Linked DNA regions of Kluyveromyces lactis. The protein of the gene in region 3 binds, or shares a complex with, the protein of the main gene of each other region. Links are inferred from orthologs where the notes say so. Each region holds a gene or a part of one and is shown on either strand. Other genes may lie near its edges.

Evidence for each region.
Region 1: HOC1 (region 3) and ANP1 share a complex: the UniProt entries of both Saccharomyces cerevisiae proteins name them as parts of the M-Pol II complex. The link is inferred for Kluyveromyces lactis from reciprocal best matches to the Saccharomyces cerevisiae genes HOC1 and ANP1.
Region 2: HOC1 (region 3) and MNN10 share a complex: the UniProt entries of both Saccharomyces cerevisiae proteins name them as parts of the M-Pol II complex. The link is inferred for Kluyveromyces lactis from reciprocal best matches to the Saccharomyces cerevisiae genes HOC1 and MNN10.

What each region holds. Positions count from the first base shown.
Region 1 is NC_006041.1:1,973,045-1,983,690, forward strand, and holds ANP1 (Anp1p), read right to left. Parts: upstream 4,671-10,646; coding exon 3,318-4,670; downstream 1-3,317. Other genes in the region: putative acireductone synthase UTR4, read left to right, coding at 478-1,143; RAD23 (Rad23p), read right to left, coding at 1,591-2,742; KLLA0_E22177g (uncharacterized protein), read left to right, coding at 5,344-5,733; KLLA0_E22199g (uncharacterized protein), read left to right, coding at 6,300-6,773; MCM DNA helicase complex subunit MCM3, read left to right, coding at 8,231-10,646. UniProt on the Saccharomyces cerevisiae protein: Involved in the organization of the secretory pathway. Required to maintain a functional Golgi apparatus.
Region 2 is NC_006039.1:1,339,626-1,349,802, forward strand, and holds MNN10 (alpha-1,6-mannosyltransferase), read left to right. Parts: upstream 1-4,221; coding exon 4,222-5,217; downstream 5,218-10,177. Other genes in the region: mRNA splicing protein PRP28, read right to left, coding at 1-1,433; PEX5 (Pex5p), read left to right, coding at 1,945-3,645; RNA-dependent ATPase DBP3, read right to left, coding at 5,576-7,090; HNM1 (Hnm1p), read right to left, coding at 7,473-9,116; LEC1 (Lec1p), read left to right, coding at 9,556-10,177. UniProt on the Saccharomyces cerevisiae protein: Required for polarized growth and efficient budding. The M-Pol II complex possesses alpha-1,6-mannosyltransferase activity and is probably involved in the elongation of the mannan backbone of N-linked glycans on cell wall and periplasmic proteins.
Region 3 is NC_006038.1:1,253,091-1,263,464, reverse strand, and holds HOC1 (alpha-1,6-mannosyltransferase), read right to left. Parts: upstream 6,473-10,374; coding exon 5,276-6,472; downstream 1-5,275. Other genes in the region: phosphatidylinositol-3-phosphatase SAC1, read left to right, coding at 1-1,042; TRP3 (bifunctional anthranilate synthase/indole-3-glycerol-phosphate synthase), read right to left, coding at 1,267-2,739; septin CDC11, read left to right, coding at 3,396-4,658; Ran GTPase-binding protein MOG1, read right to left, coding at 6,682-7,275; E1 ubiquitin-activating protein UBA1, read left to right, coding at 7,810-10,374. UniProt on the Saccharomyces cerevisiae protein: The M-Pol II complex possesses alpha-1,6-mannosyltransferase activity and is probably involved in the elongation of the mannan backbone of N-linked glycans on cell wall and periplasmic proteins.

The DNA.
Region 1 (10,646 bases), on a different chromosome or scaffold from region 3:
GATTACCAAATTCAATCCACTCGAAAGGATTGTCTAACGCGGTTTTGCTACGATAGATAAGCAGGAAAATACTGCGCATTGTGATGTCTGGGTTCGTGTGTGGAACGTTCCGTCGTGATCACGTGGTTTGTGGCATATTTTCAGTTATTTAATTTTTGCGCCGTCTCCAGTATCCTCTTTGGGAAACCTTCAAGTTAAGCTAAGCTGCATTCTTTTCCTTTTTAGGAAGGTGTAGCCGTTGTCCAACATTGCCTATGCTTCATTCCATTCTCGCAAGACTGATTTCCGCATCTCATCTCGCAAACTGTAAAACTGAATATTTTGTAAACCTATTCCAATCTGATGTTCTTCACGACCATGTTGGTTCGGTACGCCTAGTGAATAGGAGCTTGGAATTAATCACAGTCATTAGAAAAAAGAGCTTTAAGGCACAGTTATTTGCGTTTACTGGAAAACTGAGATTTCAATTAAGTGACAATGAGTCAATTGAAATATATCTTGGACATTGAAGGTACGGTTTGCCCTATCTCATTTGTTAAAGACACGCTATACCCTTTTTTCTTGAAACAGGTGGAATCTCTTGTCAAGACTAATGACCCTACTTTGCAGAACTTACTTGCCCAATTTCCTGTCCCACAAGATGCTTCTTCTTTGCATGAACATATTGAATCGCTAGTTAATAACGACATCAAGGATTCCGTGTTGAAGCAATTACAAGGGTATATTTGGGAGCAGGGTTACAAGAGTGGTGAGATCAAGGCGCCAGTGTATCCAGATGCAATTGATTTCATTCAGAGACATGCTCCTAATGTTTACATATACTCCTCAGGGTCAGTAAAGGCGCAAATACTCTTGTTCCAACACGTAGAAGGGGACATCGATTTAACGAAATCCATTGCTGGCTACTTCGACATTAACACGTCCGGTAAGAAAACTGAACCTCAATCTTACACCAATATTCTCAAAAGCATTGGAGTGCCTCCATCATCAGCAAGTGATGTTGTGTTTATTAGCGACAATGACAAGGAGTTAGACGCAGCTTTGGATGTAGGCATCAGCACCATCTTGGCATTGAGGCCTGGAAACAACCCGGTATCTAATGCAGAAAAATATAAAGCGCTTAATAACTTCTCATCTATATAAGACATGTCTAAGGTACACTGGTTCTCTGAATTGGGACTAAGGATATAGTGTAATGATGAATAAATTTAAAAAAATTAATGAAGGGGATATCTGATTGATTGTAACACAAATCCTACTTGAAGTTGGAAGTAAGAGATCGAACATACCACGCTCCGTCTGTTGCAGATTGACTAAGGTTGGTTAAGTATAACTGCTCATTATGAGTGCGTATGTGTGCAAAAATTGGAAGATGAATATGTGGGATGCCTTCGCTGTAGTAGGAAAATCTGACGGTATAGAGGTCATACTTGGATTGGCAAACACTACATGCTGGAGATATGAGTACGCATATTCCATATTATTAAACAAATTTGGTAGAGATAATTATTTTTGTTTTCTATTTTGAACATATTCTTCTTTCCCTACATGCCTAAAGAGACGATGGTTTATTGAAAAATCATACTACATTCAATCAGCGTAATTGTTGAATAGCATGTTGGCAGCAATTTCTTCGTTTTTGTCACATGCGAAGTAGATTTGCACCACCAAGGTCCTCTCAAAACCCAACTCGCAAAGTCTATTGATAGCTTCTTCATCTTCTGCTGAGATAGTAACATTGGGAGGCGCGCCTTGAGTTTGTCCCCCGAAATCACCTAGATCACCTTCTGCTATGTCATCTCCCAGATTTTCACCCAAAGAATCGGTTAGGGAACCGCCAACAGCTTCTAATAGCAAAGAGATAAACCTTTGTGGATCTTGCAGCATGGTCTCACGGAGATGTGGGTAACGCGTGCTTAGACTCTCGAAAAGTGGCATTAAAGCCTCTGGACGCCCAGATACAACGTCACGAAGTTGTGTAATGTCCTCCATAGTCAATCCGATTGTGCCCATTTCTTCTCCACCTAAACCAGCAGCGGATTCATGACCTTGCTCGCCATTATTGGCTTCTGCTTGTGCAAATAAATTGTCTTCATGTTCAGTGAATTGTGATGGCACGTCTGTTGCAACTTCAGAATTAGCATTCGCCCCAGCTTCACTAGTTACAGCTTCAGCTTGTTGCTGCGATGGCTCACTGGCTTCAGGAATACCCATAAGCAAATACTCCACTGCACGGTCAGGGTTGTTGAATGCTGCTCTAAGCGCACGTTCTACTTGTTCACGATCATAACCCATTTCCATGATTCTGTTCACAGTCTCGTTACGTTGAGAACCAGTGACAAACGAAGCATCAGTCGTCCCTTCTTCTTGTGTAACTGCAGTAGTACCTGTTCTTGTACCAGTGGTTGTAGCTTCCGCAGGTGCATTTGCAACTGCAGAAGTTTCTGCAGAAGCAGTGGCTTGAGATTCATCTTGGGGTTCAGTTGTGGATTCAGTTACCTTAACATCAGCCTTTTTCTTAGTTTTGCTAATCATGAATATAACCTGATCCCCTTCCTTAAGATTGCATCCTGATACGGTCTTAGGATCCTGGAGTATCTTACCTGCGTAGATCAACTTTATTTGAGATGCATCGCACTGTTTTTGTTCAGCGATCAATTCCTTGGCGTGTGAAATGGTGGCATCATCCGCCAATTCAATAGGTAGTTTTTCCTTTTTGAAATCTTTAAAATTAATAAGCATTATGCTTGTGATTTTCTTGGACTTTGTCTCAACGGTTGTTTTCTTGACTTTATCTTCTTTGCCACCCAGCCATCAGATTCAAGTTGATTTGGCATTAATTTCAATTTCTTTCACTGTTCTCAACTTTCATTTTCGATGTTGACAAAAAAAAAAACTGAAGGTATCTGACAAGATGCAGAACTCCGGAATACGCTGAAAATTACAGCTTAATGCAGCTTGATAACGTGTTTTCAGTATTTGCTTGCCTGTAATAGTTACCAGTAGTAATATGGTTTGAAGTAAACAAAATGAACAGATTATTGCAAGTACAATATTAGTATATAATGCATTTAAACGTAAATGTAAAAAAAAGTCTATTGATAAAAACCTCGATAATGATCTAAGGTGCATATTGTACAACTAGATACTCCAACGTGTTACAGTCTGCCTAATAATTGAATAATAATAGGGGATGGAAGCGATGAGAATTGAAATTAGATGGTTAAGATATCTTTTTAAAAAATATCTCGTTAGTGAAGAATGTATTTGTGGGTTTTATAATCTTCTTTACTCTTCACTGCCTAAACAGAAAATTATTAATGAGCAGGATCAAAGTCCAGTGGTACTTCATGTGAATCTTGATTATTTCCTCCGTTCCTTGAACCATCATCTGCTTCATCATCATCTGACCAGTCCACTTGAATCTTCCTATCTAGGACATTCGGATCAATGTTCTTCAAAATTTGTAACCTTTCTAGCTCCCACTCATCTCTCACGTCATCGAAACCAATATCCCAAATTCTAGCATAGAACTCTTGAATTTTTTGCTCTTCAACCCGACGTTTCTCTTCCTCGGCCATCCAGGCCATGTGTTTCAAATCGTCACTTGAAGGTTCGTAAATGTGCCAGATCACATAATGAGGTAGACCGACAACACTGTATTGCATTCTACGTGATAATTTACCAAAGGCTTCAGTTTCAGCATGTTTCTCGAAAGAGAACGCAGGGAAATGAGAACCTGTTCTAAAGACCTTAGCTTTAGATAAGATGGAAACACCACCAATTCCGTCTAGTTCCATCTCGACCTCGGGATCGCCGCTTGGGTCTCTCATGTAGGCCAAATGTGTTCTCCATGTAGCGTATTCCGGGTACCCTTCTACGATACAAGCATCTTCATCCAAAGAATCAGCTAATTGTAATCCACCCTCAGATTCAACCCATGAGTTCAAATCATATGGTTGTATATTTCCCAACCAATCGGGTAGAGGTCTCCAGACGTTTGGAACAATGACGTCTTTATCATGATGCATTAAATCTTCCAAAATAGTATTCGGTATAGTTTGAACGTCGACATCTCTCCAGTACACGTAAGAATGATACGGCTTCAAAGCCGCTGACCCAAGCCAATTTCTAGCTCTGGCCATGGATTTTCTTCTAGGGCCTTGAGCTGCAAACCCGTGTCTATCAGAAAACGATTGACCCACACTTTGACCGAAATCTTTCTCAAAAATTTCAATGTTAGCGAATCTTCTCGATTTGTCTTGGTTTGATTGAGCTCTTCTCAAATGAGAAAGAAGTGTTTTCATGGTATCATCGCTTGAATCACTGACCAAAAATGAAAGATCAATCAAGTTATGTGGGTATGTCAATTTATCCAAGGTATCGAAGAACATATCCAAATGTGCGGCTGCATCTCTCAAAGGAACACAGAACACCACCCTATCACCGGTCTGCCATCCATTGGCATTCCCCTGATAATTAATTAAATCGTAATATTCCACTCCAGGTATATTTCTGAACCTGTTACCAGTTACAGGACTTGAGACGAACGGTACGAACTGCCATATGATTGGGAAAATCATTCGAATTATAAGAAACCCCGTTACCACTGATCCTATCACGGACACAGCAGTCAAGGCATTGAACCTGCTCTTACCCTTGCTGCCCATCTATGACGGTTGTATGACGTTGTGTAGAATATTTGAATTTCCAGGAATCGAGAATAGAAGTGATTTCAAAAGTAAAGAGCGATGGATCCGGATGTTTTTATTCCTCCACAGCTTTAGCGATTGTATTTTATTGTTCGAAGAAATTTTGATACCGCAATTTTTCACAATAGATCTATAAAATGCACGCTCGTCAAAAGATCCTTATGTGTTCTTCCTTTCTCACTAATCCTGGGCGGTGCTAACCCTGTGTATTATGACACCTTCTGGAATAATAATCGGCTGCTTTAAATGACAAACCTTTTTCCTTTAGCGTTTGCAACAGATAATATGGTCTGTGCCATAATAAATACTTATAAAATATTACTATTTTCGATTGTATAGTTGCATTGTTTTCATCCATTTCAATTTCTTCGCCAAAAAAAAAAAAAAAAAAAAAGTGTATAAACTGAAATTTGGAAAAGGTAAATAAAAAGGAACTGCCAGACCCTACACGCAGTTATAAGGTGTGGGAACCAGTGATTCAACTCTCAGGGCACTGTTGGGGACCGTAAGTTGTTGTAGATAAGAAGCAACTCTACTTTTTCCCGGCTCAATTACCGCCTTTTCGCACTGTAACAGAACCTCTACTACGGCCATTCAACATAACGGAACAAAAAGGCTGGAAAGATAGCGGATGTCTGTTCTTCCCGTACAGTCACGTGACATGTTTCATCTCATTCCAATGCCTGGGAATGCCAGGCGGCAATCAAAGGACCAAATAAATACGTGTATAGTGATATGTATATGTTACCCGGGCATCGTTGGGTTTCCCTTTTTCCTACTGCTTACGAGAGGATTCCGTGAGCTTACCGTGTACGGTGATATATCATGGTCCGTGCCTGTTTCCCTCAATGCGGCCTCAGGTTCTTTGGATCTGTCGACTGGCGAATCCACCCAGCTCTTCGCCATCAAAGATGAATTATACACAACTACGTATCAAAATTGTACATTATACAAATCGTTCCGCAACCGATACAATTATGTGCCAACGTTGCCTATATTATTGACTTCGATCTGTCAGTGAATGCCGTTAAAAAACTAGAATATGCCATTTGGAAAACATACAATCCCCATAGCAGACTAGAATAGCAAGGGAGAAGACGATGGGAAAGTAGAAAAAAAAGACCTACCGTACGAATTGCTTTTTCTTTCTGTTTTCACACTCTACAAACTTTACACGACTATGAAATACATCGGTGTTTTTCCCTCTCGCTCTCTCTTTCACTCTCTCTGTACAAAATGATCGAAACTAAATTTTTCAAACTTTTTTTTTCAGTTCGACGACGAGAAAGAAAAAAAAATTTGATATTCGATTTTATATATATTGGAAACAAAATTATAAGAGTTTTTTTCTTCATGGAAAGTTGAATTTAAAGCTTTTTTTCATTTACAAGAGTGTATTTAGTCCATTTTGTATATGTTTCAGAATGATTTTGTAAACTTCTTCATTTGTTTAATTAGTTTTTCTTGTTCTCTTCTGTTTTAACTTTATCCTGTTATTAGTTATTCAGTTTTACTTGGTTTCAATTGTATTTTGTTTTCACTACAGATAGTAGACCAAACGCATTAAACAAATCACACATATACAACATGGCTGAAGAAGAACACACTTTCGAAACTGCTGGAGCTGGTGCTTCCTTGACTTTCCCAATGCAATGTTCTGCTTTGAGAAAGAACGGTTTTGTCGTTATCAAGGGCAGACCATGTAAGATTGTTGATATGTCTACTTCCAAGACCGGTAAGCACGGTCACGCTAAGGTCCATTTGGTTGCCATCGATATCTTCACCAACAAGAAGTTGGAAGATTTGTCTCCATCTACTCACAACATGGAAGTCCCAGTTGTTAAGAGAACTGAATTCCAATTGTTGGATATCGATGACGGTTTCTTGTCTTTGATGACCATGGACGGTGAAACCAAGGATGATGTCAGAGCCCCAGAAGGTGAATTGGGTGACAACATCCAAGCTGCTTTCGACGAAGGTAAGGACTTGATGGTTACTATCATTGCCGCTATGGGTGAAGAAGCTGCCATCTCCTTCAAGGAAGCTCCAAGATCCGAATAGATTTTGATATGAACAAAAAAATTCAGTAATATATTAATGGACTAAGAAATGAGAAAAAAAAGTTTTTTTATCCCTGGATAAATGGAAAGAAGAAATTGGATCAACCGTTGTTGATACGTTGAGCTCCTAATGTGTTTTGAGAGGGACAGGGGATCTTCTTTTGTTATCAGTGAGATTGGACTCGAGATGAAAAAGACTTGAAATATGATTCCTTTTTTATCCTTGCATGTTTTCACTTGTCCATCTTTCTGTGTTTCCACAAAAGTCGTTTTCCTTCCTGGAACGGTTTTGGTTGCTACTCCCGGTGTTCTTTAGTACGCTATCTAATTCCCCATTTTTTTTCGTCTACTGTTAAGCATCCAATTATATATATTAACTTATATGATATTCTGGGTGTTTTACGTGGGTTTTCAGCAATGGGATGGATTTTGAGTTATAATTGTTGGTTGGAGAACAAGAAACTGTTTTTTCTTTTCTGGAAAACACTCAATCGCTCCTTTCCTTGTCAAGCGTCATTGATGGAAATACTATCAGATACGTTATTCTTTATCACTTTCTCCTTTTAAATCAGCTTTTTTCTCTCTATTCCAGTAATTTTTTTTTTCACTCAATTAAATATCATTATATCCTTAATTCTATTTCTTATATATTTAAATCTTCTTTAACGCTTCCGTTTGTCGTTTTACATTGTCATTGAACCCTGTTAATATGGGGTGTGTGTACTCTTCCGCACTTGCAGACTGCCAGTTACTAAACGGTTGGGAAACCATCCTTGTTTTATTTTTTCAAATTTTGGCTCATCGTCGATAACTTTCAATATCAAAAGCTCAATTGTAGGCAAATATGATTTCGTTAGATTACTTTCTTTAATACCATCTAATGTCCATACTAGGTTCAGAACGTTGGCAAGGGTCTGTAGTTTCTTCTTGCACTGTGAAGCGCGGTATAGTATTTATTATTTACCAATTCACAATATAATGAGTGACATCTTCTGGATCATGTGATATGAACCTAACATCATTTTATCATATAACATGGCAACATGGCCGAGCGGTTAAGGCGAAAGATTAGAAATCTTTTGGGCTCTGCCCGCGCAGGTTCGAGTCCTGCTGTTGTCGTTATTTTTAACCCCTTCTTCCTTTATTTTTTGACGCGTTGCCATTTCTCATTACCCGGAAAATTATTCCTCTTTCTTTTCCAAAAACGGAAAAGATATTGACGAAAACATCAAATCTCATTTCTCTTTGCCGTATTCTGTTGGTAAAATACAGCTGAAACTCGATTCTGACAAAAATAAACTAGAAGAACCATATCAAGAACGTTTCTATCCCAGAACAGCACTGGTGCCAATGAAACATTAATTTTTAGCACCTTCATTTTAATAATATTATTGCATTTATCGCTCCCTGTTTAAAGGACTTTGCTACTGAAAAACACCATAAGTACCGAATTCAATCATGAGTGATGCTATGAATCAAACAAGTGATGCTGTCTTTACAGACAGAATGCGAAGGTTTCAAGAGTTTTTGGATACCCATTCGCATTATACTCGAGAAATAAGATCAATACTCGAGTTTAACAGCAACGTAGTGAAAGAGAAAAAGACGGATGATGATTATTTAAATACTGCAGACAAAGATACGATGGACCATGACACTAATCAATTGCCATTGAGAATAACAGTATCACTTGACGATTTAAGAGAATTTGACAAAACATTTTGGACTGGACTTTTACAAGTACCCTCGTTCTTTTTACCACCAGCGGAGCGTGCTGTTTCGGAGACTGCAATGGCCTTAGATGATAGCCCTCTCGGGTTTCGCGGATTCCAAAATGATCCCAGCAGACAATGGAGACTGTCATTCAAGGGTTCTTTCGGTCCGAATTCTTTATCACCACGTACCTTAAACTCAACACATTTGAATAAATTGATCTCAGTAGAGGGGATTGTAACGAGAACCTCACTTGTGAGGCCAAAACTTCTCAGATCCGTGCATTATGCCCAAACCACAGGCCATCATCATTACCGTGATTATCGTGATGCGACTACAACATTAACCACATCCGTACCAACACCAGCTATTTATCCAGAGGAGGATCAAGAAGGTAATAAGCTGGTCACAGAGTATGGATTTTGTCATTACATGGATCACCAGCGAATCACCGTTCAAGAAATGCCCGAAAAGGCCCCTCCTGGTCAATTACCAAGATCCATTGACGTTATCTTGGATGATGACTTAGTGGATAAGACAAAACCAGGTGATAGAATTAATATTGTTGGTGTATACAAGTCATTAGGTGCAGGTGGTCTAACAGGTGGTTCTAATAACAACGACAAGGGTAACGGTGCTTTATCTGGTTTCAGAACTGTTGTAATTGGTAACACAGTGTACCCTCTACATGCCAGGTCTACAGGTGTGTCCGCCGTTGAAACGCTATCAGATAATGATATTAGAAATATCAATAAGCTATCAATGCATGATAATATTTTCGACACTTTGTCCCAGTCGTTAGCACCATCCATCTATGGCCATGAACACATTAAGAAAGCCATCCTATTAATGCTTATGGGTGGTGTGGAAAAAAATTTACCCAACGGTTCACATCTAAGAGGTGACATAAATATCCTTATGGTTGGTGATCCATCCACCGCTAAATCTCAAATGCTTAGATTTGTGTTGAACACAGCAGCATTAGCTATTGCCACTACGGGTAGAGGTTCCTCTGGTGTCGGTTTGACAGCAGCCGTCACTACTGATAAAGAAACTGGTGAAAGAAGATTAGAAGCAGGTGCGATGGTGTTGGCAGATCGTGGTATCGTTTGTATCGATGAGTTTGACAAGATGTCCGACGTAGATAGAGTTGCTATCCATGAAGTTATGGAACAACAAACAGTAACAATCGCAAAGGCTGGTATACATACAACATTGAATGCTCGTTGTTCAGTTATCGCAGCTGCAAACCCTGTTTTCGGTCAATATGACGTTAACAAAGATCCACATAAAAATATTGCCCTACCGGATTCTCTATTATCTCGTTTCGATTTACTATTTGTGGTTACGGATGATATCAACGACATCAGAGATAGAGCTATCAGTGAACATGTCTTGAGAACACATAGGTACTTACCTCCTGGATATTTGGAAGGTGAACCTGTTAGAGAGCAAATAAATCTATCATTGGCTGTTGGTGAAGATATCGAAAACGAGGAAGAAGATGATGATGAGGACGTAGTTTTCGAAAAATTCAATCCACTTCTACACGCCGGTGCGAAGCTTGCAAAGAACAGAGGTGATAGCAATGGTAGCGAGCTTCCTCAAATTGTTGCGATACCCTTCATCAGAAAATACATTCAGTATGCAAAAGAGAGAATTATTCCTCAATTGACTCAAGAAGCTGTAGACGTTATCATCAAATCATATTCAAATCTAAGAAACGATCAGAACACCAAGAAATCCCCTATCACGGCAAGAACTCTAGAAACTTTAATCAGATTATCCAGTGCTCATGCCAAGGTAAGGCTTTCAAAGAAAGTAGAACTAGAAGATGCAAAGGTAGCAACACAATTACTAAGATTTGCATTACTAGGTGAGGACGGAGCCAACTTCGACGAACAGGAATTTGCCGAAGGCAGAACAACCGAAAAATCTCCAAGAAAGAAGCCAAGAGCTTCTCCAAGGAAGAAGAGAGGGGCCGTTTACAAAGAAGTTGACTCAGAGGATGCAGAAGAGGACCAGGAAATGGCAGAGACTCAACCGGATCCTGCTGACGGTCTGGAATCTACGATGGTACGGTTAGCACCAGAACAAGAGGAAGACCTTCAAAGAAGACTAGAACAAAACTTGAGAGTGAGTCCGAGACGCCAACTATCAG
Region 2 (10,177 bases), on a different chromosome or scaffold from region 3:
CTACCTACACGATGCACAAAGCTGTCAAACGACTTAGGAAATTGTAGATTCACTACTAAAGAAACGTTAGGTATATCGATACCTCTTCCAGCGACATCAGTAGCTATGAGAATATCTACTTTCCCATTTCTCAAAAGACTTAAAGAGTGTTCACGTTGTTCCTGTGATTTTGAGCCGTGAAGAGTTGTTGCTCGGAACCGAGCCTCTCTAAGTTTGTCGAATAACCAGTCAGCTGTTCTTTTGTAATTTATGAATATTATGATAGGAGCCTTGTAATTTGGTAGGAAATCTTTTACAAGTATCTTAAGTTTTTCTTCTTCATCTGGAACATACCGTACTATTTGTTTAATTTTTGGTTTAGATTCTTCTCCTCCAACCGTGACATAGCTTGGCTTTTTCAAATAGCCATTAGCAACTTTTTCTATGGTAGGTGAGAATGTAGCCGTAAACATCATTGTTTGTCTATTGGAAATTGTTTCTGTCTTTGCTAAAATTGTAGTCAACTGATCTTCAAAACCGAAATCTATCATCTTGTCCGCTTCATCCAACACTAACGTATTTACTTGCTTTAAAAATAAAAGATGAGAATCTAGACAATCAAGTAACCTTCCGGGTGTAGCAACCAATATATCACATCCATCTCTTAGGTTTGCTGAAATTTCTTCCAAGGAATGTCCACCAACAATACTTACGATATTGCAAGGTCGTTTCCATAGTTTCGTAATTGATTGCCCCTCATGTTGTATTTGCTGTGCCAATTCTCTTGTTGGTGCTAATACTAATGCCAAAGGACCATCATGTTTAGTAATTGAATTAAGTGGCGGTATACCGTGAAGTTTTATAAGAATTGGAAGCAAAAATGCAAGTGTCTTACCAGAACCAGTACTAGCAACACCAATGAAGTCTCTATTGTTTATAACATTCGGTATTGTACTGCGCTGAATGGATGTTGGCTCGTTGTAGTGCAAATCATTTGTAATAATGTTTAACAAATCTTCCGGAATTAACTTTAATTCGTGCCAGTTTCTTAGAGGTTTCTCTACTGTTCCACCTTTACTCGAGATATTAAAGTCTTCAGATAGAATCCTCCAATCCCTAGTGCTCATCTCTTCATATTTCTTTTCAGACCAATGCTTCCCCAAGTAATTGTCGACAATACTTTCATCTTCATTTTGTCGTTTCTTCAAAAGGTCGGCGGATTTTCTTGCTAGGAATAGTAAATCATCTGGTTCATTAGATACTTGTTCCTCGTATAGTTCGTCTTCGTCGAGATTCCTATAATTATCTTTCCTCTTGATAACGGTGTGTGACAATGCCTTTGACGCTTCTTCTTCTTCTGGTTGTGGAAATGTTCGTTTCTTGATCAGAAACCGAGGTTTCTTCGCAGGAACTGTGTCTGATATTAAGTCATCAATACTGACGGGCCTTAGCATGGTAAAGTGTGATACTTTCTACCCATCTTTACAATCGTGTAATATTGCAATACCTTTGAGAAATGAGATGAGCTCCACCGTCTTAAAGCTTAAAGAACTTAAAGGCACAGTTTCTGATATTGTCGCCACGAATAACCTAATACGGTATATGTCCGGGTAATAACATCGCCCCAAACCTGTTCCGAAAAATCATGGCGATAATCTCAATCAATCTCTGGAGCTTTGAAAAACTCCAGAGATTGATGAATCATGATTTAAACAAACTAACCGAACACTTTCATGACATTGCCAAGGTTGAATTCATATATAACTGGATTCATCAACATATCAAATCTACATACTTTCTACGCAGAACTTGTCATTGTGTTCATTTGTTTGAGCTAGTAGCTTTATTATCAATCATCAAGGGAGCTAAAAGGGTTTACTAAGCATAGACTAAGGGAGCTCATCAAGGGAGGTGGTAGAGTTTAAAAACAAGAAAATATCCCATCTCATTTGACATAATACAATTATGAGTGCAGATTGTTCCGTTGGATCAAATCCTCTCGCGCAGTTGAATAAACATGCCCAGCAGAATCCTGCTCTGAGACAAGTGGGGTATCAAAATCCGGCCAGTAATGTTGCTCAAAACTTCAAAACTCATGTGAATGAAGTATCCAATGCAAATCGTTTTCAAATGGACCAGTTTATGAACAGGTCACCTGGTTTTTCTGATGGTCAGTTGGGAATGGCGCCTGTTCCTAGTGCTATTCTTTCGCATGGTCCTCGTTTTGGACTAAAGAAACAAGATAGTGGAAGCAGTAATATGTCAGCAGGCGATACAGCTCAGCATTCCAGGAGCTGGGGTAATGAATTTAATAGCAGATCTCCTCAACAGGGTTTAGCCAGCAGAGTCAATAATGTTGAAAGAATAAGCAACACAAATTCTATGAGTTCATACAGGCCTGGCATGTCCCGGATCGGGAGGCCGATGATGCATACAGGTATTTCTTCATTACATAATTATTCTCACATGTCTCAGCAAACACCGCAAATGTCCAGTGATGATGGTGTTCTCGCTGACAAGCAGTGGAATGAGCAGTTTGAAGCCTTGGAGAAGGCTGTGGCTGAAAATTTGACCATGGAGGACAATAAAGAGGAAACCAAGGAGGAGATAGTAGTGGAGGATGGATATCAAGCAGACTTCCAAGAAGTCTGGGATAAGTTACAAGCGGAGACGGCTGATAATAATTTGGAAACAAGTGATTCTCAATGGGAGAAAGATTACGCTCGCTATATGACTGGTAAAGCAACACATATTCCACCTTACAGATTTGATAATGATAACCAATACATGCATAATCCAAATGCCTATGAAATTGGATGTATCCTAATGGAAAATGGGGCGAAGCTAAGTGAAGCTGCATTGGCTTTCGAAGCTGCTGTGCAAGAAGACCCCGCGCATGTAGATGCATGGTTAAAGCTTGGATTGGTTCAAACACAAAACGAAAAAGAAATGAATGGTATTAGTGCGCTTGAGCAATGTTTAAGCCTAGACCCCACTAATCAGCAGGCACTCATGACAATTTCTATCAGTTATATTAATGAGGGATATGATCTGACCGCTTTCAGCATGCTCAACAGATGGCTAGATAGTAAGTACCCTGAGTTAACACGCTCCCCTACCATTGATGAGGCCAATATCGATAGGTTTAATTTGAGCAAACAAGTAATCACGAAGTATTTGCAAGTAGCTAACGCCTTGCCTCAGGTGGATCCAGAAGTTCAGCTCGGTTTGGGAACGCTTTTCTATGCCAATGAAGAGTTTGGTAAGACAATTGACTGTTTCCGCACCGCATTAGAAGTCAATCCAAATGACGAATTAATGTGGAACCGTTTGGGAGCCTCTTTGGCCAATTCAAACCGTAGCGAAGAAGCTATCCAGGCATACCACAAGGCCCTTGCCTTGAAACCGTCTTTTGTGAGAGCTCGTTATAACTTGGCCATTTCGTCAATGAATATTGGCTGTTATAAAGAGGCTGCAGAGTCTCTGCTCTCTGCTCTATCTATGCATGAAGTAGAGAATGTTCCAATTACTGGATCAGTCGTGCAATCTAACAATATTCTGGAGACCTTAAAGCGTTCCTTTGTCGCCATGGATAGGAGAGATTTGCTAGAAAAAGTCATGCCGGGCATGGATCTACAGCAATTTCGTAATGAGTTTAACTTCTGATAATGCAACGCAGCGAATAGTCTTTGTTTGATAGGACCATCCTCATATTCATAATGAATTGATCTTTCACCAAGTTTTGCGGAAAAATACATTCGCATAATTAATTACAAGCATTTAGTCGCATATATGTAGTCGTCATTCGATTGTATTCCTCAACGAATAGTGCAGAGGTCCATGCTCACGATCAGTGTACCAGTCAAAGTGTTATGGTAAGCTGTCGCGGTATCTAGAGACAGATTGCGATTCTATCATTTCTACCGGGTAACATTTTCTTGTTTTGGATTTCTTCATTTTAAAGCGAGTTGCAAGAATTTGAAGTAATGTCAACAGAGTAAAAATATATGTTCTCTATAGATAAACTCCAGAGTAGTACAAAACAATCATTTACTGGTTGTTGTTTGTGTATCTAAGTGATTTCGTTAGTACTTCAATACGTTAAGGAAATATAGTGTGACTGCTTGGAGCAGAAAATACTATTGATCGCGTTTTGCTGTTTTTCTGAGGCATCCAACTTGATCCGATTTATTGTATATTGTACGTGAACGAGAGACCAGTCAGAAAATCTAGATAGGATCAATGACTTCGAGTACACCTTATGAGTACTCATACGAATTGGATGAGAAAAAGCCATTAAATTTGGATTCCAATTACGTGTCGTCATTTTCAAAATATAAGAGGTACGTCCTATGGCTGTTTTCCATACTTTTCATATTATTTTGGTTAAGTGATTTCTCACTTGTTGCAGCTGAACCCAAGGTGGTGATAATTGTTGCTGTCAATAGTGGTGGCGGTGGTGTTTTAAAGTGGAAATCGGAACAAGAATGGGCTATCGAGCGTATTTCTATCGAAAACAAACGTGCATACGCCAAAAGACATGGTTACGGATTGGTCATTAAAGATCAGGCACTATCAAAGAGATACTCCCATGAATACAGAGAGGGCTGGCAAAAGGTTGATATAATGAAACAGACTATGAGGGAATTCCCCAATGCTGAATGGTTTTGGTGGTTAGACGTGGAAACTCTTATCATGGAGCCCCAACTTTCTTTGGAAGAACATATCTTCGATAGACTAGATGAAATCGCAAACAAGACTTTGGAAGCTTTCAATCCTTTGCATATAGCTACCGATGTGGCATATGTTGACTATTCACAACCGTCAGATATGTTAATTACACAGGACTGTGGTGGTTTTAATTTGGGTTCTTTCCTAATGAGAAACACTGAATGGACTGAGCTTCTTCTCGATATATGGTGGGACCCAGTCGGATATGAACAAAAACATATGGTCTGGGAACATCGTGAACAAGACGCTTTAGAAGCATTGTATGCTAACGAACCTTGGATTAGAGAGAAGATCGCATTTCTACCACTAAGGCAGATCAATGCTTTCCCACCAGGTGCTTGTGCAGATTTCAAGTATGACTTGCGCTATTTCTATAACGAAAAGGAACATGACTTCGTTGTCAATATGGCTGGGTGTAACTTTGGTAGAGACTGCTGGGGTGAAATGCGCCAATACACTCAACTGATGCAAACTCTTCACCGTAGATGGTACTCGATGTTCTTTTAGATTCTCAATTTCCTTTTGTTTATCACTTCAGTTGTATTTCAAAAATTATGCACTGCTCCATTGTACTAATACTGTAAAATAAAAGGCGAAGGTACAAGAAGATCTTCGATAGAGTATCCCCTTTTATACTTTAATGCTTTCCCTTTCAACACCATTCTTCGTTGCCTTTCAAAGTCATTGTTTGAATATCGCATATTTAATACGTCTTTAATTTCAATTTTTATCGTGAACATTCATTGTACAAACTTCGATGCAAGAGTAATTGTAAACTTTTATTTACTCTGTATTGAATGAACTACTGTACATAATGGGGGTGATTGCTAAAAAATACAAGAATTGTCTTTATAACGGATTTAAATTAATCAAATGTAATCTTTTTTGGTTTCTTTGATAGGTCCACATCCTTGAAGAATGCACCGTACGCACTATGTTCCTTCTTCTTTGTGTGAGTACCGAACTTCTTGAGCTCCTCAGGAACAGGTTGACCAGCACCATTTAAGACATTAACAAGGGCACCTGCAAGATGCTTTTCTTGCTCAGTGAACAATGTGTGTGCGGTACCGTATTGACCAGCACGACCGGTTCTACCAATTCTGTGAACGTAATCTTCTACTGTTAGAGGGAAAGTCAAATTGATAACGGTTTTCACGTTTGGGATGTCTAAACCTCTGGCTGCCACATCAGTAGCTAAAAGTAAGTTACATTTTCCTGCTTTGAATTCATTCAAAGCTTGAGTTCTTTGCTGTTGAGAAAGATCACCGTGAATGGCAGCAACATCGTAACCGTTGTATTTCAAGTTTCTTTCAACACGAGAGGCTTCCTTTTTGTACAAGGCAAATATCAAAACTTTGTCGTTCTTTGTTGGGCCTGAATGGTACTTCTTCAACAGTTCCAACAGTTTTTTTTCCTTTCTGAACGGATCCACAACTTCCACGATCTGAGTAATTCTTTTGTTTGCTGACAGTTCATCTCTGTTACCAATAGACACTTTAACCGGTTCACTCATGAAACTTGAAGCAAGTTCACGAACTTCTTTTGGCCATGTCGCGGTAAACATCAACGTTTGTCTAGAGGTGGATCTTGTTTGTCTAATGATTTTTTTGATATCTTCCTCAAAACCTTTTTCCAACATTCTGTCAGCTTCATCCAAGACCAGGTAGTTAACATGACTCAAATCAACAGAGCCTTCCTCTATTAGATCCAACAGTCTACCTGGAGTAGCAACAACGACTTGGGATCTCCTCAGATCTTCTCTTTGCTGATCCTTTGGAACACCACCGTATACGCAACAAGATCTTAAACCACACGCGTCAGTAAGAACAATCAAATTATCGTAAATTTGAGAGGCCAATTCTCTAGTTGGTGAGATAACAAGTACCTTGACGGAACTTGACTTGTCTCCTGATGTGACAATGTTGTTGATAGCTGGAACACCGAAAGCAAAAGTCTTACCCGAACCAGTTTCAGCGATACCGATAACATCCTTACCAGCTAATAGATATGGCCAGGAAACAGCTTGAATTGGAGTTGGTTTTGGGAACTTAGAAATTTCCTTTTGAATCTGATCAATAAACGACACTTGGGAAAAGTCTAAATATGGTACAATATTGGAACCTGATGGGTCGCTAACTGTAACCTCATTTTCCTTCAAAAATTCATCAATATCAGATTGAGAGGCAGAAGCAGCAAAGCTTTCAGTTTCTGATTTCTTATCCTTTTTCTCCTTCTTTTCTTTCTTCTCCTTCTTATCCTTCTTGTCTTTCTTGTCTTTCTTGTCTTTCTTGTCTTTCTTGTCCTTCTTCAATTTTTTCTTACTCTTCAACTCCTCATCTTCCACCTTTCTCTTCTTGTCCTTTAATTCATCTTTTGACATTCTGGACTATTTGCTTGAGCTCTAATGGTTAAGTATCACTACTACTGCAGATTCTGCAATCATATCATTCGAAAGCACTTAAGTCATCTCATCTCATCTCAGCTTTGTTATATAAAATTTTCAATAATCAAAAAACATTTCTTTTTACTGACGCCAGCTGAATTACAACAAGAGACAAATATATAATTAATATAGCAACGGAGGATCCGTATAATTGATAATATATTCTCAATTAATTCCGATACAGCAGTACCTCAGTTCGTATATATCTAGTAACAATAATTCAAAAGACAATGCAAGTATTATATTTAGTAGGTATATTAAACAGGTGAATAAACGTTAAAAAAGACAAGAAACGAAATGCGATAGGAAGCAGTGTTTATCATTTAGCATCATAAGCATGGAAAGCTTCAGTTGTTACTGACTCCTGATTGCTATCGGTGTTTTCATCTTCTCTGATATAGAAAACTTTCTTTGCCTTAAATTGCCAGAATCCTAAGTAGAATAATAGGAACCCAACAATGACGACTGATGCATAATTCATGTTATCTTTTGTCACTGGCATGACAGCTGGGAAACAGAAAAAGACTAAAGCGAAAAGATTCCAACCCAATAAAACGATATTGGAGAACGCTCCGAATTTTCCTAGCCAAAATGGGCCATGTTTAATATTACGTTTACGCGCCAACAGACATACGACCGGAACACTGTATGAGAACAATAAGAACGCAATACACCCAGTAATTAAAGAATTGAAAGCGGTGGTGGAAGCCATGTATAAGCAACCCAATAGCGAAATCAAGGCACATGACAGCAAGTGCGCGTTCAATGGCACACCCAATTCAGGATCAATTTTAGCCCAGTATTTAGAGTATGGGATACCGTTGTCTCTAGCAAATGACCAACACAATCTTGCTTGCCATGTATGGCATGCAATAACACATCCAAATGAGGTGAAAAGGATGAGGCAACCCAACACTACAGCACCTGGAGTAGATTTGGTAGCTTGACGGAAAATTTCCAAGATTGGCATTCCGGTATTGGATGAAGCAACAGCCTCTAGATCTTGTAAAGAGAAGAACATAGCGATGACGTAACTGAAAGAAGTAAGGAATCCAATGCCCACTGTACATAGAATAGAGATCGGAATCACTCTTTCAGGGTTTTCCACTTCAAAAGCCATGTGAGTGGCACAATCTAGACAAGAGAAGGACCATGCCGGGTTGATTAAACCGACAATGAAGGCAATGACTCCATTTTTCCAGCCAGTTTCGTTATAGAAAGTAGCAAAAACGAACTTGGCATCGTTATATTTACCATGGGAACAAGCTAGCACGGTCACTGTAATGGTGAAAAATGAAATCAATGAGATGTACAATGACGATTGAGAAATGACTGGCAAAGCCTTACCAGAACAGTTGAACATCATCAAGAACAAGTGCAAGATTTGGAAACATACGAATACATGCCATCTCTTGACTTCAAAATCTGGATGGGTCAAAGCGTACATGCCTACCAATTCAGAAGCAACTGAAAGTGTGGTAGATGCACTAGAGAAAATCGCACCTGCCCATGCAAAAGAACCACATAGATAAGCAGCTAGTCTTCTGTATTTTGGTGGAGCCAACTGCAACGACCACCAGAACTGACCACCAGCGTGTGGGAAAGCAGAAGACAACTCACCTAGAGTCACAGCAATACAGATAGAGATCAAGGCAATGATAATGATACCGTATACGACCATCATTGGACCACCAGAGTAGATACCAGTAACCATGGATACCGAGATACCAAACCAAGAATTCGTCAACCCGAACCCAACACCTAAAATCGACCATAGAGAGAATGATTTACGCAAATGACCTTCACCTGTACCACCGTACGCATCGTAAGCATCTTTACTCGATATACTTTGTTCTTCTAGTTTACTCTCCTCATGAACAACATTTTTGATACCGTTATCCGAACTGTTATCGTTGAATCCAGTTGAAGATCCTGCCATCTCGGAATTAGATATCTCTCGCATCTTCAAAGAATATCCCTAATACTACCATCTATATAAAAATACGAAACAAGACACACAATATAAATAAACTACCAACTCATCTCATCTCATATTAACTAAAAACATATCAGTGTCCTTATATAGGATTTGGCAATTCCTCGAAATGCAGTTTTCTGGTTGTCTTTTATCTTTCCATTTTTCAAATCGTCTCGAAGACGAAGTTTTTCATGACATGTGAAAATTAAACCTCATTTGGCCCAAAATCCCACTTCCGTCTCCTAAAAGGAATTTCCTTTGCTTTATGGAATTGACATGGATTTAGTATAGATCGTGGATTTTGGATTAACTGGCAGAGTTATATGTGAAGTTAGTCTAGACAGGCTGGTTTATGTACATATATATATATATATACCTATCGGTGTGTTTCTTGAAGTGAGCGGAATAACACAGGTTAGGAGGCATGGTCGTTGAACTTTCTTCCGTAGAAGAACATTACTTGAAGAGAGAGTTATTAAGGATTGAGTTGAATACAGAGTTTGAGAAGCTTAACGACATTAATGCATTGAGGAAGTTCGGGTGCCCCTTCTCGGATGAGGATCCGAAGAGTAAGGGCAAGGCTAAAAATAAGAGTCATTCACGAAACAGCTCGGTTTCTAGTCGTGTTTCATCAACGCTTAATTCTGATGATGAGGTGAAACAGAAATTTGTTGGTGAGTTTCCGGTATTAAGCCATTTCTTGCAGAATTTTGTAATGACGTTCCCATTGTTGTCCAAGGAGTTGGTTAAGGATCCGTCGTTTTGGCAGGGTAAAGTTCAGGTGTTCTTTGAGCATTTCATGTCTTTACCGTTCAGTTCCAGTTTTGATAGAGAAGAATTGACAAAACGTCGGAAGATGGCATTGAAATTGTCCAAGGTGATTTTATTGTTCTATAACTCTGGGATCGGTGTGTCAAAGGAACGTCAGTACTACGAGCAAGAGAAATATCATCTTACTAAGGATGCAGAGAAGGCTACCAAGTTGAATAAGTTTACCATGCCAAGCAAGGATAATTTGCAGTACTTATTGACGAACGAACCTATCT
Region 3 (10,374 bases):
TGAGAACAGCTCGTTAGATGCAACCAAGAAGCATTTCGATGAACAAACTCGGTTGTACAATGAAAACTATTTGGTGAATCTAGTCAATCAAAAGGGACACGAATTACCTGTGAAGGAAGCTTACGAACAGGTTGTTACTGCCTTAAATGACCCAAAGCTTCACTATATCTACTTCGATTTCCATCACGAATGTAGGAATATGCAATGGCACAAGGTCAAATTGTTATTGGATCATTTGCAATCAATGGGCTTGTCCAATAAAGATTTCTTCCACAAGACTTTGGATGCTAATGGTGTTACACTGCAAGTTTTCTCCAAGCAGCAATCGGTGGTTAGAACTAACTGTATGGATTGCCTGGACAGAACTAATGTGGTTCAATCCGTGTTAGCTCATTGGGTGTTACAAGAAGAGTTTAAGACTGTTGGATTGACCGACGATACCGGCTTATGGGAATTAGACAAGAACTTGTTGTTTGAATTCCAAAGCTTTTGGGCAGATAACGCAGACGCTGTCAGTGTTGCTTATTCAGGTACTGGGGCATTGAAGACCGATTTCACTAGAACTGGCAAACGTACTTACCTAGGTGCTATAAAGGATGGTATTAACTCTATTTCTCGTTACTATCAAAACAATTTGACAGATGGCCCAAGGGAAGATGCATTCGATTTGTTCCTGGGAAATTTCAGACCTTACGCAAGTGTGGTCCATTCACCATTCCCAGATAGAAGACCAATGCTAATTCAAGCGGTTCCTACCATGATCTACGCTGCCCTCACAGTTATGATGGCAACTATACTTTTCCCCAAGAATCATTTCACAAGTGCGAAGAATCTATCTTTCTTTTTCGGATCCTTCAGTATTGTTGTCTTATGCACACATTTCGTATTTAAGAGGGGTATTCAATATGTGAACTGGCCAAAGTTAGTCGATTTAGGGTATTTGATTGCTGAGCACACGCATAACAAGGAGAAACAATTCAAAGGTGTTAGATACGTTCCTGATCCAAAGTTCGTTAAACCAAATTCCTTCAAGAGGGACTAGCATTGAACATTCCTTAATGTATAGAGCTTTCATTTTCATGTTTATTTACTCCATGACGTTTCTACTTTTATGACTTCTTCTTCCCAGTTTTAATGTTCGATACCTTTTGAATTTATAGTATCTGTATCATTCTTACTTTAACGTCTATATCTAAAATTACAGAAATACAATCATTACAAGTTGGTGGATACATACATAACGAAGGATGAAATGGACTGGTATCATTAGTTGATTAGCTCCTCGATGAATTTATTTACAGATTCAGCTCTCATGAGAGCTTCTCCAACAAGAACACCATGAACACCTTCCTTTTTATATTGATCAGCATCAGCTGCTATTGTTATTCCAGATAAAGCAATTAGTAGGGTTCCCTCTGGTACAGAACTGACCAATTTTGAGGTAGTACTCAAATCTACGTTGAAAGAGTGCAAGTCTCTGTTATTAACTCCGATCACTCTTGATCCAATTGCCAACGCACGTTTTAGTTCTTCTGCGGAGTTTACTTCCACTAGAGGTTCTAAATCCAAACTTTTTGCATAATCGTACAGTTCCTTCAACAAGTTGTCGTCAAGCATCTTCACGATCAATAGCACAGTATCAGCGCCTGCAAGTCTAGCTTCTAGGATTTGGTACTTTGAGAAAATGAATTCTTTGCGTAATACACATGGTCTTTTCGATTCGTCATTGGCAAATGCCACCTCCAACACTTTTCTTACATTTCTCAAATCTTCAATGGAACCTTTGAACCAGTGAGGTTCGGTCAATACAGAGATCGCTGAAGCACCTGCCTGACCATACTTCAACGCTTGCTCTGAAGCAACGACACTCAAATCAATGTCACCCTTCGATGGAGAAGCTCTCTTCACTTCAGCCAAGACTGCTGTTTTCTCAGTAGCAGTTAATCTTGCATAGAAATCTTGTACCCTTGGAGCTAAACCTAACTTATAGTTGGCTTCTAAATCAGAGAACCGATAACCTGGGATCGTCGATTGCAGTTGAACGTCTTCACGGCGTTTTTCGTAAATAGTTTCCAAGATAGATTTCGCTTTATCAGTGCTGGCTGTCTTTCCGAGCTCATTCCTAGCCAAGTTAGCTGCGTTCTCATCCCAAGTACCTCCTGATACTTCAAGAATATTCTTGATCATTTGATGCCCACTCTCGGTCAAGATAGATTCTGGATGGAATTGCACACCTTCCACAGTGTATTTCTTATGTCTCACACCCATAATAATTCCAGTCTCCGTTCTTGCACTAACTTCAAGCACATCAGGAAGTGTTTCCTTGGCGCCAGCAAGCGAATGGTACCGCGTCACTGCGACACCTTGAGGTACTTTTCTAAAGAAACCTTTTCCATCATGGAATATTGGTGAAGTCTTACCATGAACAATTTCTCCAGCAAAGCTAACTTCACCGCCAAAGACATCAAACATACATTGCTGACCCATGCAGACACCAAACACAGGGACTTTGCCGCAGAAGAATGCGATACAGTCTCTTGATATCCCGGAATCGGTCTCTGGATGACCTGGACCCGGTGAAATCATGACAATATCAGGGTTCAATGCTTCAACTTCTTCCACAGTAATCTTATCATTTCTGAAAACTAAAACTTCAGCACCCTCAGTGCAAAGATATTCATAGATGTTCCAGGTGAACGAATCGTAGTTATCGATCAAAACAACTCTTTTAGCGGACATGATATCAAATTAATGCGAAAACCTAGTTCCTTTTTATCACAGTATAGTGTAGTTGCCCTACTAGATAATTATCAACCAAATATAACCAATCGATAAGAAATTATCGAAAGTTTCTTCTTACAATTATTTCAATGCCCTTTAAGGGTTCCTTTAAATATAAAATCGTCTTGAACATGAGATGATTAACTGGTTCCACATCACAATTCGAGATGAGTCAAGAGAAAGCTTTGATGAAATGAGAAATTGAATCGAATTTCGTCCTAAATGATAAATATGTATGTGATGTACGGATGTGTCAACATTCAAATCCACATTCTTAAGGCAATTGTGCATCGCTGGATTGATTATTCCGTAATCTGACTTCCAAGTAACAATCTATAACCTCTGTTCAATTAGCTGAGCCCCTCTATCATCCATCAAATGCTCTTTCACCGTCGAATACCTACTCTTTCTCTGTTTCCTCCATACTAAATTCCAGATTCCTCAGAGTAACGAATTTAGAATCAGATCGGAAACGTGAAACTTTAAACAAACAACTAACACGTAAACAACACAATTAACAGAAGAGCTGCTCAGAGGTCTTATTAGCACCTAATTTCTGTCGGGGTATTGAATTGGGAAACAAAAGCACTGCTACAATTGTAATTTAGACAGAAATGGCAAGTATTATTCAGGCATCTGCCGCTTTGCGTAAACGGAAGAACTTGAAGAGAGGAATTCAGTTCACGGTGATGGTTGTTGGTCAGTCTGGGTGCGGTAGGTCGACGTTCATTAACACTCTATGTGGACAGAAAGTGGTAGATACTTCTACCACGATTATGTTACCAACGGACACAAATACGCAGATTGATGTGCAATTGAGGGAAGAAATCGTTGAGTTAGAAGACGAAGAAGGTCTTAAGATCCAATTGAATATCATTGATACTCCGGGATTCGGCGACTCTTTGGATAATTCTCCATCGTTTGACATTATCTCTGATTACATTCGTCACCAGTACGATGAAATTTTGTTGGAAGAGAGCCGTGTAAGGAGAAATCCTCGGTTTAAAGATGGTAGGGTGCATTGTTGTTTATATTTGATCAATCCTACTGGACATGGATTGAAAGAGATTGACGTGGAATTCATCAGAAGACTAGGTACTCTAGTGAACGTGATCCCCGTTATCAGTAAAGCAGATTCCTTGACCGCTGAAGAGTTGAAATTGAACAAGAAATTGATCGCAAAGGATATCGACTATTATTCGCTACCTATCTACAACTTCCCATTCGATGAGGAAGACGCGTCAGACGAAGATTATCAAACAAACACATATCTCAGAGGTTTACTGCCCTTCTCTATCATCGGTTCCAACGATGTGTTTGAATCTGCAGACGGGTCCGTGATTCGTGGTAGAAAATATCCATGGGGAACCCTTGACGTCGAGGATGCTAACATCTCTGATTTCGTCGTCCTAAGGAACACTCTACTCATTTCACATTTACACGATATGAAGGAATTTACTCATGAGATCCTATACGAAAGATACAGAACTGAAGCCTTGTCCGGTGAGATGCCAACTGTAGGAACTACGACTCATAACAGAGCTTTCAGCACCACGAACAACGAATACCTAGGATCACCCGCTGTATCTGGTAGAGAATCTGTGAGGGGCAATGGATTACCATCTGCGTTGGGGAACAATGATTCGACTTCTTTACATTCTAACAACGCGTCATCGAACCAGGACACTTACTTGGCAAGAGAAGAACAAATCAAGCTAGAAGAAGAAAGATTAAGGGTTTTCGAAGAAAGAGTGCAACAAGAATTGCAATTGAAGAGACAGGAATTGCTGCAAAGAGAGCAAGAATTAAGAGAAATCGAAGAGAGGCTAGAAAAGGAAGCCCAATTGAAACAGGAAGGAATCAAATTGGAACAATAAGTTGTTGTCCCTTCCTGCACACTAAATAGAACTACATATTTCGTTTCTTTCTTTAACCTATACCTCAGTTATTACCATAAGATAGATAAAGCATTACGAACCATTTCAGGCTACTGGCTGCTAGTCGTGTGCTACACTTTATCGATGCCCTAACGATCAAGCAAAACCTCATTCATTTAAGAAAAAAATTCCCGAACGAAAACCATATAAAAGCCACTTACTTCGAGGCCGAAAATAAGACGAAAAAGACGGTAGAAGGATGGCTTCTGAGCACCAAATGGGTAGTACCAGGGGTACCAGGGATACCAGGTGTACCATGACCTAGTAAATCTCCTTTACATTATCTCACACAGCATGCCAGGAGGCGTGTGCCGTGTTCTGACAAGAAAACATCATGTATGAAGATGTGGGATGGAAAAGCTTTTAGATGATGAGTAACCAGATAGGGACAACAGATATTCGTTTAAGTGACGAGGAAAGTCTTTTAATTGCCCAGTTTTTAGTAGAGCTTGGGCGCACTCTGATTTTAGTTCCACAACTTATACATGATTTAGTGTCAGAAACGGATTAACAAAATTATTTAAAGTTGTGATATGAATATAGTACTATATAAATCGTTATTTGTAGCCGCGGAGTTTTTGCTGGTTCTTCCATGACTTCATTTTGGTATGTGTTGCGAAATGTAGCGCACTGTTAGTCAACTGTTTAGAATCCGTGTCTGAATCAGCTTGTGGCGCATTGAAACTAACTTCTGGGAACACTAGAATGTCTCCGACCAGTTTGGGTACCTTTAAGTTATGGAAATGTTTCCAAGTGATCTTGTCTAAAACACCACTTTGAACGTAATCGTTGAAATAGGTGAATATTACGTCGGTCCAAGCACCAGTTCCGGTCCAGCCCATAATGGTCAGATCGTTTCTTAGGTTCATGTTAAGTTCATCAGCGTATTTTTTTTCCAATGTAGTCTCAGTGACCCTTGCGACCATTTCACGGATCACTGGATGGCCTGGCTTGGCTTGTACGACCCAATTGCCAAATTGCAATCTTCTCAAATAAGAAGATCTCCAATCAGGAGTCTTCGAGTCGTGTTCAATACCAATAATCAACCCGATTTCCTTTGGAGACACGTTCTCTGGGATCCAATTGGGTACTGGTTGCAACAGATCAGTGTCGACATCTGCCCAGACACCACCACGCGCCAGCAAGATGAGGTACTTAAAGAAATCGATCTTTAAGATCGACGTAGGCAAAGAATCATAAGCTTCTATCACTTCAGGAACTGTAGCATAGAAACCATGCACAAACGCCGCAGCAGTATCGTCGTTGACAATCTCGTGAACGAAACCAGGGTTTTTATTAGCCCAGTTCCGTTCGTATTTTTTCAATGTAGGATCCAACCTGTCATCGTCATCGGAATACGGCCAACTTTGCCAAACAAAAGCGGGGAATCTCTGAGTGGTACCGTACTCAAACACAACGGCCAACTTCTCTCTCAAAGTCGCATGTCTGGCAGGTTGCTTCAACGCTTGAATCTTCTTCTCCAAGACTTTCCTCTCTCTATCAAACCTTCTTGCCTGATCGTCCTGTTTCTTTAGCATATCCTGGCTCAATTTCTCAAATTTCTCCATAATTTTACGGTCTGATTGCTCGGAAGAACCCATATTAATCTCCTTAGGTAAATTCTGTAATAGTGTCTGCAAATCTGCAGCAGTCGTACTGTAGTTAAGCATCTTGAAAAGAACCACCACTGCAAACACCAACGGAATTGCAATGGTGGCTATCCTTCTCCAGTTATTTCTCTTGCCCTTGGCCATCTTCACACGGATAGCGCAAGTTATGAACCACTAATCAACACCAGGGCTCCCGCTCGTAGTGATATACCGTTGAGAGTCTAGCTGATGGAGGAATAAGTATGTATTGTTTATCATTGATAATACCATTTCCATAGTTGAAACACTCATTCTTAAAGAAATTCATTACCCGGATATATAATTTACTATACTTTTACTATACCTGGTTTCGATCATGCAAATAACGATGGATCCTCCACTTTGAAGCTCGAGATCATGTCCCGAAGCAACGAATAGGACGCGTGCACCCTTTGAGGTAGCTTTTCCGGTGAGTTTTGCGCAATTGCCTGTTCCATGGCCTTCAGTTCTTGTTCCGATGAGATAGGCACGTGAACAGAAATGATGACGTCGGTATCGAATTGATCCAACCTGAGCAATGCAACACACATTACTACGGTTTCCTTCATCGATTGTTTGCCCCACTTGTATGCGGTCTCAACAACGATACATGTCTGTGATTTGAGTTCCGTTTGCTCTTGATGGTCAATTACTGTCCATTTCTGTGATCCGTTGAGTTCTGAAATTTCTGCCAAATGGATATCTAACGCTTTTCTGTCATTATTCTCTTCCACACGCTGCATTAGGTCTACGATCACACTTTCATCGAACCCGAGCCCATCCTCACTAGGTTCATTCTCACGTCTGCTATTCACGAACACTTCCTGTGTGTCTGGTACTTGCCTTAGCATTGAAGCATCAAGAAACGTCTTGGGAATGACGGTGCTGATGGCACCGCCGTACAATTCTTGTCTGATCCAATGGGACATGGAAAATTAGATATATAGGGTTGTCAGACTGTGGGTAGAGTAAACAATCGCGCTGTCCTTGCCAGTCGAAGTCTCTCCCTCTCTCTTTATCTCTTGAGAAGGACATCTCGTCTTCAAGGTAAGGGAAAATCAAATATCACATTTGACGAACATTCAAATATTATGTGGTGTGCTGGTGTAAATGCATTTATTGTATGCAATGATGGCTTCAAGCATGCCAAATGGGTTTAAATCAAGTGATTACTGTCTCGTATTAATTAATTATTTACGAAACAATTTATATGGGCTCTTGGAACCATACTATCACCTCAAATGCTTCACTTTCTGTCGTATTGTATTCGAACATCTTCCATTCATATCACGTGACTGAAAACTCAACCACTCACGTGACCGAACCCAAAGTGGCAAAAACCGAATTAATAAGGCCAACAACCTATAAACAACTACAAACCAGTTTCCTTAAAACAACAATAGCAACAAGAAGTGAACCGTTCGTTCATTTTGATCACATTGCATCACAAGTTAGTATCAGATATGACGAATATTAAGGTTGATGGCGAAGAAATTGACGAGAGCTTGTACTCTCGTCAATTGTACGTATTAGGTAAAGAAGCGATGTTAAAGATGCAACATTCGAACGTTTTGATCATTGGGTTAAAAGGTTTAGGTGTCGAGATTGCCAAGAACGTTGTCTTGGCCGGTGTTAAGTCTTTAACCCTTTATGATCCAAGCGCTGTCGCTTTACAGGATCTTTCTACGCAGTTTTTCCTGTCAGAACAAGATATTGGGCAAGCTAGAGATAAAGTATCACAGGCAAAATTAGCCGAATTAAACTCATACGTGCCAGTGAAGGTGCTAGAGGGGCTAGAAGACGTGTCACAATTGTCTGAATTCCAAGTAGTTGTTGTGACAGACACGATTTCACTAGAAGAAAAGGTGAAGTTGAATGAGTATACACACTCTCACGGTATCGGTTTCATTTCTACGGAGACCCGTGGGTTATTTGGTAACGTTTTCGTCGATTTAGGTGAAGAATTTACCGTTATTGATACTACTGGTGAAGAGCCAAAGACAGGTATTGTTTCTGATATCGAGTCGGATGGTACAGTGACCATGTTGGACGATAACAGACATGGGTTAGAAGATGGCAATTACGTCAAATTCTCCGAGGTGGAAGGTCTTGAGAAGTTGAATGATGGTACTCCTTACAAGGTCGAGGTGTTGGGTCCGTTCGCATTCAAGATTGGTTCTGTTAAGGATCTTGGTACATACAAGAAAGGTGGTCTGTTCACCGAGGTCAAGATGCCACAGAAATTAACGTTCAAGTCTTTAAGGGAATCTTTGGCAACACCAGAGTTCCTGTACTCGGATTTCGCCAAATTCGAGACTACTGCACAATTACACTTGGGTTTCCAGGCCCTACATCAGTTCCAAGTTAGACATCAAGGTGAATTGCCAAGGCCATTTTATGAAGAAGATTCTAATGAATTAGTTAAACTCGTTATAGATTTAGCTACACAACAACCTGAAGTGCTGGGTTCTGAGGGGAAAGTTGATGAAAAGCTCATCACAGAACTAGCTAACCAAGCAAGAGGTGATATTCCAGGTATCGTTGCTTTCTTCGGTGGTCTGGTTGCTCAAGAAGTGTTAAAGGCCTCCTCCGGTAAGTTCACTCCTATTAAACAGTACATGTATTTCGATTCCATCGAATCTCTACCAGATTCTGAAGATTTCCCAAGAAATGCAGATACCACGAAACCAATCAACTCTCGTTACGATAACCAAATTTCCGTATTCGGTTTGGAATTCCAAAAGAGAATCGCAAATTTGAAGGTATTCCTAGTGGGTTCAGGTGCGATCGGTTGTGAGATGCTCAAGAATTGGGCTTTACTAGGTTTGGCTTCTGGCCCTGAAGGTAAAATTATTGTTACCGACAATGACTCAATTGAAAAGTCGAATTTGAATCGTCAATTCTTGTTCAGACCAAAGGATGTCGGCAGAAATAAATCTGAAGTTGCTGCTGATGCTGTAAGTGCAATGAATCCTGATTTGAAGGGCAAGATCGAGCCAAAGATTGACAAAGTTGGTGCTGAAACAGAGAATATTTTCAACGATGCTTTTTGGAATCAATTAGACTTCGTTACCAACGCATTGGATAATGTGGATGCTCGTACCTATGTCGACCGTCGTTGTGTGTTCTACAAGAAACCTTTACTAGAATCGGGAACATTGGGGACAAAGGGTAATACACAAGTGGTTATCCCTAACCTGACAGAATCTTATTCATCTTCAAGAGACCCTCCTGAAAAGTCAATCCCATTGTGTACATTGCGTTCATTCCCTAATAAGATTGATCACACTATCGCTTGGGCCAAATCCCTATTCCAAGGCTACTTCTCTGACGCAGCTGAAAATGTTAACCTATACTTGACGCAACCAAACTTCGTAGAACAAACTTTGAAACAAGCCCCAGATGCCAAAGGTATCTTAGAATCAATTAGTGATTGTCTAAACAATAGACCTTACAACTTTGAAGATTGTGTCAAATGGGCAAGATTAGAATTTGAAAAGAAGTTTAGTTATGATATCCAACAGTTTCTTTACAACTTCCCTAAGGATGCAACAACATCCACCGGGGAGCCATTCTGGTCTGGTCCAAAGCGTGCCCCTGAACCATTAGTCTTCAATATCGAAAACCCAGATCACTTCCACTTCATCGTTGCATCTGCTAACTTGCGTGCGTTCAATTATGGTCTAAAGGGAGATGATGGTAAACCAGACATTAACTACTATCAATCCGTCCTATCAAAGCTTATAGTTCCTGAATTTATTCCAAAAGCTGACATCAAAATTCAAACCAATGACGATGAACCAGATCCAAACGCGAACAACCAGCTTGGTGGCGATGTCTTAGAAAACTTGGCAGCTTCTTTGCCAGATGCTTCTACCTTAGCTGGTTTCCAACTAATCCCAGTTGAATTTGAAAAGGATGACGATACAAACCATCATATTGAGTTCATTACTGCTGCATCGAACAACCGTGCTCTAAACTACTCTATCGAACCAGCTGATCGTCAAAAGACTAAGTTCATTGCTGGC